Linked DNA regions of Yarrowia lipolytica. The protein of the gene in region 1 binds, or shares a complex with, the protein of each later gene. Links are inferred from orthologs where the notes say so. Each region holds a gene or a part of one and is shown on either strand. Other genes may lie near its edges.

Region 1 (4,083 bases):
AAAGGTCAATGAGAAGGACATCAAGATCGGCTCGTACCCGCACATGGAGCTCAAGAAAAACACCGTGTCTATCATTGGCCGAAAGGGAGACGTGGAGTACCTCAAGGAGATTGTCAAGGACGTGGAGAAGAATCTCAAAGGAGAAGAGATTTCGGCGGAGAAGGAGGAGGGCAACAGTCATGGGCCGTAGATAACTCGGAAACCTACAAAGCGAGTTGTTGGGCTGTCGTCTGAACAGATGGTGAGCGAAGCGGGCTATTTTCTTCATCGTTCGTTACCAATCCCCTTATTTATGGACTCTCTAAACGTCTAAAGAGATACTTGATATACGAATTACGAGTACACATCGATATGTTACAAGAACAAGTACTGTACTCGAGATGCGCTGATACAATTAGGACGGTATGTACGTCCTCGCCAATGAATGCTCAGATTAAAACAGTATGTGGAATGTAACCGCAAGCAGGGCCTAATATTAAATCCACGGCGGCTAGTCTAGTGATGCTACAATTCAATGAGAGGGGCAGACTCCTCCTTCGGCTGGGCGGGAGCACTGGGCGCACTAGGACCTCCAGGGGCACTAGGGGCACTGGGAGAAGATGCATAGTCGTATTCGGGGGCACCGGAGTACTGGTAACTGGGTGCGTTGTAGACGTTTTGTGCTGGTGGACCCCCATATTGAGGAGCAGAGGGTGCCGACCCAGTGTAGTGGTTTGTGAGATGGCCAGTGGGTTGGTTAGAGAGATATGGCGCCTGTCCAGTGACCTGGCCGGTCAGATAGGGAGCTTGTCCGGTGTGCTGGTAACCCATATGGGGTTGCCCAGTAATCTGGCCAGTCAGATGAGGGGCCAAGTGAGGCGGCTGTCCCGTCATCTGGTGGGATAAGTGAGGTTGTGGTGCGTATCCTCCCGACTGTCTATTAGTGTAAGCCTGGTTGAGCTTCTCCTCCAACAGCGCGTCGTAATACCGAATCACGGTGGTCATTTTAGCATGCATATCCACCAACGAGTCGTACTTGGAGATGGTTTCGCCCATGGTTCGGGCAAGCTTGGGTCGCAGGTTGCCGACGGTGTCATACAACTCCTGGATCTTGGGTTCCCGCAGAATCGTTCCCTGGGGTTCTCCCTTGAGGCGTTCAACAAGCAGAGACAGCAGATTGATGTTAGACTCTTCTGTGGCTGTTAGATCTGTGAGGGAAGGAGCCATGACTGTAGTGGAAGCTGAAGACAAGCCACCGGCAGATGCAGAGGTCTGTCCAGTCTGTCGCTCGTTTTCCATGTCTCTAAGGGAAGCTGCAATGGCAGCCTTCATGTCTTCATCATCGTCGTTGGAGGTTGCTGCTGCAGGAGGAGGGGGTTTGTAGGACTCCTGTTCCTGTAGTGACAGTCTGATGGCCTTTTGAATGTCGTCTTCGTCGTCGTTGGGTGCTGAGTTTGCTGGGGGGGCAGAACTGGGGGCTGTGGTAGTGGCTCCTGGAACAGGCTTGTGGATAGGAGCGTCTGATTTGCCTTTCTTGAGGTTTTTGAAGCAGCCATTGCAGACTCGGACGGGCACGTTGATGCCGAAATGGGGCAGAGTGATGTAGTTTTGGCAACAGGCTTGGGTGAAGACGCCTCCACAGTTTCTGCAGTGGTGTTTTCTGTTGAGGAACGAAAATGCCACGCCACTCTCCATGCAGACGTCACTGTCTATCCACTCGGGCGGTGCTTTTGTGTCGATGAAGGTGGAGGTGACTGCGGCGTTATCGTGGGAGGCTGAGGGGAAGGATACTCCCTCGGATTTAAGCTGTGTCACTGCGTTTTCCACCTGTTGCAGCTGCAGTTGGCCCGCAAACGCCACCGCCCACTGCTGGAGCAGCTGGAGCACCCGTTGTCGCACCTCGGGGTTTGCGTCGTCGTTTCGAGCAATCGCCATCAGGGGGTCGACAAACTCGCGGGAGGCGATTTCGACGAGGAAATGCGAGCCGCCGTTCTTGATGCACACGTCCGTGAGCTGCAGCGCCGCCAGCTGGACGTTGGGGTTGCGGTTGAGCAGCCGTCGCTTGAGCGACCGCATGGCGTCCTTTGCAGGCACGGTTTTGGACCGAATCAGGTCGCAGATTTCCAGATTGAGCGCAAGATCGGACTCGCCCGACGGCAGTGACTCTGACGTGGCCTTTTCGACCTGCTCGTCAATAGAAGGCGTGGAGCTCCACCAAGACATGTTCTTTGTTGCGGATGGGGGGAGGGGGGTGGTGTGCGGTGGTCAGAGAGAGTAGCGAGGTTTCCAGTGGCGATATTCAATTGGGAGGTTAGGCAGAGTCTAAATACCCGATTGCATCCCAGTGCATTAATTAATGTGCCATGATGTGGTCGAGGGGCGAGGCAGGGACTCTGGTGGGTTAGGTGAGCAGAACAGGAGGAGATCCTCGTGGGCACTTTGCACCGGTCCTTTATGTGTGTATGTGTATATACGTGCTTTGTCAGCGTCGGGACTCTTGACTAAGCTGGTTCCAACCCTTGATTAGGTTACCATGATCAAGGTTGAAAGATCTAAGATTGGAGATGGATGAGAACGAGTATGAGGACGAGTATGAGGACGAGTATGAGGACGAGTACAAGTAGGAGAGACAGATGGAGGGCGGATCTGACGGGAGAAACTGATTGTCACGCCTGAAATCACTTGGTTTTCGTCATTTCGAACTGTCCGAGCCCCGATCTAGTGGTGGCAGACCCTTTCATGCCCTGTCTGACATGCTGAGTCGGGTCTGTCGGTCATACGAGACAGTACAGTTGTCTACGTCAGTACGAGTACAAACGAGTGCTGATCGTGAATTGATGTAGTTTCTTCGTGCAATTAATGCAATTATTGTAGTTGCCTCGAGTACTGGTACTGTATTACTGTGTATGTACTGTTGTTGGGGACGTGGTAGCTTGGACAAGCATGCTTCTTCTCAGATCTGACAGTATAGTAACTGGATTGAGATTGATTGGCTATTTTTCTCAAGTGTCGACATTCTGAACATTGATAAGAAGTCGCTGTTCCATTCCATTCACCATAAAACTGCCATTGAGCTGCCGAGACATGTGAATACCTCATAACCACCGCCCTTCTACCGCCCTAGTATCGTACATACTCGTACACGGTACAAGGCTGTGGTAAGACTCGTGAACTCATATCACTGGTACACACTCCTCGGCTGCTTGAGGGTCAATGGTGTTTCATTTAGTCGGCCTGATGATCTCGACATGGACAATCCGTACATCGCTTGTTCTCTTTCAATTCAGTCTCCCCATTCCCACGGGCTAACTTCATGCAAACTCCAGTTAGTTGAACCCTCCAAGTAATAACCCAATACTAGACGACTTTCTTGATATAACCAAGTAATAACCCATCGTTAGACGGCTTTCTTGGTAGAACCAAGTGTTGACTCCACCCCTAGACTTTCTTGGCAGGCAAATGTCAAATAGCCGCTCTCCCGGAAAGTAAATCCCACACAAAACAACCGCTCAGGCGGTTTGAACGGTCGGCTCCTTCGCCACACTTGTTCGTCTACGCCACCCGACACTCCATCCATCGCCCCACCCAAAAATTAGATTCGAGGCCACCTCCCATCTGCATCACCATCGCCACTACCATACATACATCTCCACACCCCGGTTATCTTATCAACGACTTGCGACACTAACAACTACAACCAAGATGGCAACAGCATCCGTTCAGGTGAGCAGTATCTGAGGCGCACGTGACCACCCACCGCGTAAGCAGCTGACTAACACAGACCCGACTCAAGGTGCAATTGAAAATGGCGGTGAACCGTCTGCGACTAGTGCAACAGAAGGAGACGGCACTAGCTAAAGCCCAACGACGAGAAATGGCAGGGTTATTGGAAGCAGGCAAGGAGGCCAGTGCCCGGATCCGCGTGGAAAACATCATTCGAAACGACATCAGCGTCGAGCTGCTGGAGATTCTCGAATTGTACTGTGAACTGCTGCTGGCTCGAATCGGACTGCTGGACGCCAAGGAATGCGATCCTGGCCTGGAGGAGGCCGTGTGCACCGTCATCTATGCGGCTCCCCGTACGGAAATCAAAGAATTGCATAC
Region 2 (4,261 bases), on another chromosome or scaffold:
AGAAGCTGTACAACCTGCCTGTTGCTGTGGCCGACCGGTCCAAGATGAACATTGTCTTCACCATCCATGGCGAGGGTCTCGAGGACAAGTTCCTCAAGGAGGCGGCTGCCAAGGGTCTGACTGGTCTCAAGGGCCACCGATCCGTCGGAGGTATCCGAATCTCCAACTACAACGCCGTCACTGTCCAGAGCGCCGAGCTGCTCAAGGACTTTATCAACGAGTTTGCCAAGCAGAACGAGTAGACGGATGCGTTGCCAACATATAGAAGGGTGCAAACTCTGACACTTGATTTATTGATGATTTGATTGTATTGTAGCTAATGAGATGTAGTCACCAGACCCACTATGTCGAGGGTATTGGAACAAATGTACTTACACGCAATGGACCCATTTGAATCGTTGGCACTAACGGTATTCTATCGTTGATTGTACTTACAGATATCGTCAAAAGTGGACGTTTCCTTAACACACACTTACTCAGATTGACCCACGGATACGTCTACAAGTATGTACTGCACACTCGTATTGTCATATGCTCATTAACTACTCGTAAAAATTACTGGGAGGGGGGCCTGCATTGGGCACCGGGGGAGGCGGTGAGGTGCCATGAGAGTACAGACCCTGGACCGGTGGAGCAGCCAGGTTGTTGTTGTTGGGAATAGGGATCGACTGGCTGGTGACCGGCGATTGCTGTCCCAGGTTGCTGGTGGGCGTGCCATTGATGTATGGCGAGTGTCTGGCGGGCGCAGAGGCCGCGGGGGAGGTTCCGTAGGGGGCCGAATGAGCTGTAGAAGGAGATCCGTAGCCGTGAGGAGCAGAAGCAGCCGGAGCATGGCTAGGAGGCGCAGAGGGGGCTCCAGAATGGGCTCCAGAAGGGGCAGAAGGGCCTCCGGGGCCTCCGGGGCCTCCAGCACCTCCATGGGGAGCAGAGGGAGCAGAAGGTGCTCCACCCCCATATTGAGGAGGGAATCCGTACCCACTTCCTCCGGTGGTCGCGGGATGCAGATCTGTGGGTCCCTGGCCTCCCTGGCCTCCCTGGGAATACATGCGCTGTGATCTTCCAGAGTCAGTAGATCCCTGTCTTCCATGCGCCTGTGTGTTATCGTATTGATGCACGGGGTATGGAGTTTGCTGTTGCTGCTGCTGTGGCTGCTGTTGATGTGTCTGAAGAGGCTGAACAGGATAAGGAGGCTGTTGCTGCTGCTGTTGCTGTTGTTGTTGCTGTTGCTGGGGAGGATACTGAGGCGGGTAACCAGGAGTACCTGGAGTACCTGAAGTACCTGGATAACCTGCGGGAGCGCCCTGAGCACTAGGATATCCTGCAGGAGCTCCACCCTGTGCACCACCTGCATATCCACCTGCTGCAGCAGCTCCTCCATACTGTGGCATGCTGGCCTCCATAAGGTCATCATACACTCTTCGGGCCTTGACAAATTTCTCGTTGAGCTCCACCAGGTCGTCCTTTCGCTGGGCATACTTGTCGATTAGCTTGACCAGCTTGGGCCGGATGGCAAGGGTGGAGTGGTACAAGGACTGTAGCTCCTCATTTTCGGCGAGATTAAGCCGGGCAGCGTCCTGCGAAGACAGCAGTGCCAGCAGCTTTTCAATATTTCTGCTCTGAGAGAACACAGACAGCTCTTCCTGGGCCTCCTTTTCAATCTCCGCGGGAGTGGGTTCGGCTATAGGCATCACGTAGTTGAGTGGGAAGATACCGACCTGGCCCCGCAGAGATCCCCGCCACCAGTCTCGGAACACTGACTCCAGCACTGTGATTATGTCGCCCTTTCGGAAAGACAGTTCTCCGGGCTCTGTGGCGTTCAAGTCATACAGGGCCTTGACTCGGGACACCGTGGCCACCGTAGGTGTGGGGTCCTCGACTGCCGGAGCGTTGTTGTTGGTGTTGGCGTTGTTGGACTGCTGCCCGTAATCCTGCTGGTTGTGCTGCTGTTGTTGCTGCTGTTGTTGCTGATGAGGGTCCGTGGCAAAATGAGAGTTGTTAACAGGAGGTTGGATCTGAGAGTTGGTCTGGTGATGCTGCTGAAATGAGCCAGAGGTGTTTGTTTCGCTCAGCGAAAGCGCCAGCACCATCTGCAGCTCCTCCTCCTCTCGCTGGCGCTCCTGCTCGGTGATTTTGTGTTTTTCGGGCTTGGCGGGGGCCTTGAGATCGGGCTTCTTCCTGCTCAGTTCGTCGTAGGCCTCCTCAATTAGCCGCAACGAAGGGTCCTTTTTATACTCGTCCGTCAGCTGCTCCAGGACCTCAAGCACCTTGGACTTGACGCTCTTGTGGACGGCCGAGTCGTTGGCCAGCTTCATGAGGGTCTTGACAAACGCCTTGGACGCAATGGCCTGCTGCATCTTGGAGCCACAGTTGGACGATAACGAGATGACCAGCGTGAGCGCATACAGTTGGGTATTGGCGAACTTCTTGTTGAGACGCTTGGTGACGCTGGTGATGACGTTTTTCGCGCCATTTTCGGGGTCGTTGTTCACCTCGTCGCAAACGTCGAGTATGTACTGCCAGTTTTCCGTCGTCAGGTTTTCGTCCGTGGCCTTGGTGACCACGTCATCCAGTGGCGACACGGGCTCCGACGATCTGAACATGTCTGTGAGGGTGGTGAGTGGGTGCGGTTACCTCTATGAGGTGTGGTTGGTAGCTACAAGCAGCGACTATTGCCACTGAATAAAGTTGCTGGGAGGTGAGATGGAGTAGTGATGATGCAATGTGGACGGCTAACTACTTTGTGGAAGTAGAGCCGTGTGTTACTGCAAGGAGGATCTGCTGGTCAGCTGTGTTAGGGAAATTGATTGACCACCACAGATCCGAGCTGGCTATCTATAAGTACATTCGCAAATGTAGCTATTTCGAGACACAAAGGCTATCGTGGAGGCTGAGCGGCATGCGTCCTAACGGTAAGGTGCATGGGGGTACGATTCCCGCGATTGGGGGGAGGCAATAATTGCGAGTACGGTTATACGACGGTGTGAGAAAACAACCATTGAAGAGGATGAACGACGACTTGTACTGAGTGCGTGTTTACTTGTTTAGTTGTTTAACAGATTGCACGATACCTCATTGCGATCAATAGTTGTGGTATTATAGATACAATAGCAAGCACCGGTTTCTTGTATCGTAGAAGCCTCGTATTGGTTTTTGTTTATGTCTTCAACCAAAGTTAGAAATAGTAACGATAGCATACATAGCCTGGTTACTTGTATGCTGCACATGACTGTCAGCACGAAGACAACTACTCCGTCAGATAGTGATGTCTGATGCGGTGGAGTACAAGACAAGTATCTGATTGCATCAAGAGACTTGCTACAGTACTTCAACTGGTATCACTACTCTTTATCAGATACCCTCAGATGCCATCAGCAAGCAGTGAAGAAGATACCTCCACTAATTACTTGGTGAACTGGTGCAGTACAGACTGTAGCCATGATGGTATGATACCAGTCTGCGACAAGAGCAATACTATACGAATACAGGTACACGTTACATACAGCTTTACTCGTATTGATCCTTCTGTGCATGCAGGGGGCGGAGCGATCTGGTCATGACCATTTATCTATCTACACATGAGCAGGGCTGTGTTTAATCGGTGGGATCTACGGTATCATAGTCTCATCTAGAGTTAGTCTAACTGCTACTTTAATAGCGTCCCTCAATAGCTTGATAGCGCATGTACCGTTCGAGAAGTCGTAATACAATACATAAAAACGCACCGCACCTATACAGTAAAACGCACCTATGTTGTGGACGTCTGATATTTATTCCATTATGTCGTCGCCGACCCCGTTTCCCCCTCCTCCCCCAACTTTACATTGTGCATCAAACGGTTTTTTTCTGCAGCCAACGGTGGCCGGTGCTTGTATGGGCCCGCACGGACCGGTACAATACATACTGTGAAGCTGCACTGCCCCAACCTCGGCACATTGACTTTAGCCCACCCACGGAACACGATAATCGATCAAGAGACAGGAGCGATGCAAGTAGCAAGATATGACAGATTCCTCAGACGTCAAAAGATCCGGGGGCGCCCATTGCCATCGCTCCGCCCATGCCTTAGTGTGTTGTGACACGTCCTCCTTTCATGCACCCCTCTCTTTACATGGTGGTAATAAAGCGTGGTCAGAGGAGAGAGGAGAGATAAAGCGAGTGCCGGTATATAAGTACAAGCACGAGTACTACCAAGTGAGAGAGGACAGTCTTGCGCTAGTCGGACGTACTCGGTGCCCATAGTCTATATCATCTCATCACGTGA

What was found. The genes of interacting proteins can lie anywhere in the genome.
Region 2: the proteins of YALI1_B05454g (region 1) and YALI1_F09563g are in contact, whole or in part, in a crystal structure (PDB 2PJW), measured with the Saccharomyces cerevisiae proteins. The link is inferred for Yarrowia lipolytica from reciprocal best matches to the Saccharomyces cerevisiae genes VPS27 and HSE1. Residues at the interface, in NP_014403.3 of Saccharomyces cerevisiae: Asp349, Leu350, Lys355, Ile358, Tyr359, Phe361, Ala362, Val365, Glu366, Met368, Lys369, Ser370, Arg371, Asn374, Leu377, Glu378, Gln383, Ala386, Val389, Phe390, Lys393, Leu396, Asn397, Ala399, Leu400, Lys403, Ala404, Lys406, Tyr407, Thr409; in NP_011861.1 of Saccharomyces cerevisiae: Val292, Phe293, Gln295, Lys296, Ile299, Asp300, Leu302, His303, Leu306, Asn307, Ala309, Ser310, Ser315, Asn316, Leu319, Tyr328, Val331, Thr332, Arg335, Val338, Met341, Leu342, Tyr345, Ala346, Glu348, Lys349, Met352, Leu353, Leu355, Arg356.

Annotation. Positions count from the first base shown.
Region 1 is NC_090771.1:543,563-547,645, reverse strand, and holds YALI1_B05454g (uncharacterized protein), read right to left. Parts: upstream 2,203-4,083; coding exon 505-2,202; downstream 1-504. Other genes in the region: YALI1_B05483g (uncharacterized protein), read left to right, coding at 1-190; YALI1_B05438g (uncharacterized protein), read left to right, coding at 3,682-3,702, 3,761-4,083. UniProt on the Saccharomyces cerevisiae protein: Component of the ESCRT-0 complex which is the sorting receptor for ubiquitinated cargo proteins at the multivesicular body (MVB) and recruits ESCRT-I to the MVB outer membrane.
Region 2 is NC_090775.1:954,665-958,925, reverse strand, and holds YALI1_F09563g (uncharacterized protein), read right to left. Parts: upstream 2,601-4,261; coding exon 543-2,600; downstream 1-542. Other genes in the region: YALI1_F09598g (uncharacterized protein), read left to right, coding at 1-242. UniProt on the Saccharomyces cerevisiae protein: Component of the ESCRT-0 complex which is the sorting receptor for ubiquitinated cargo proteins at the multivesicular body (MVB) and recruits ESCRT-I to the MVB outer membrane.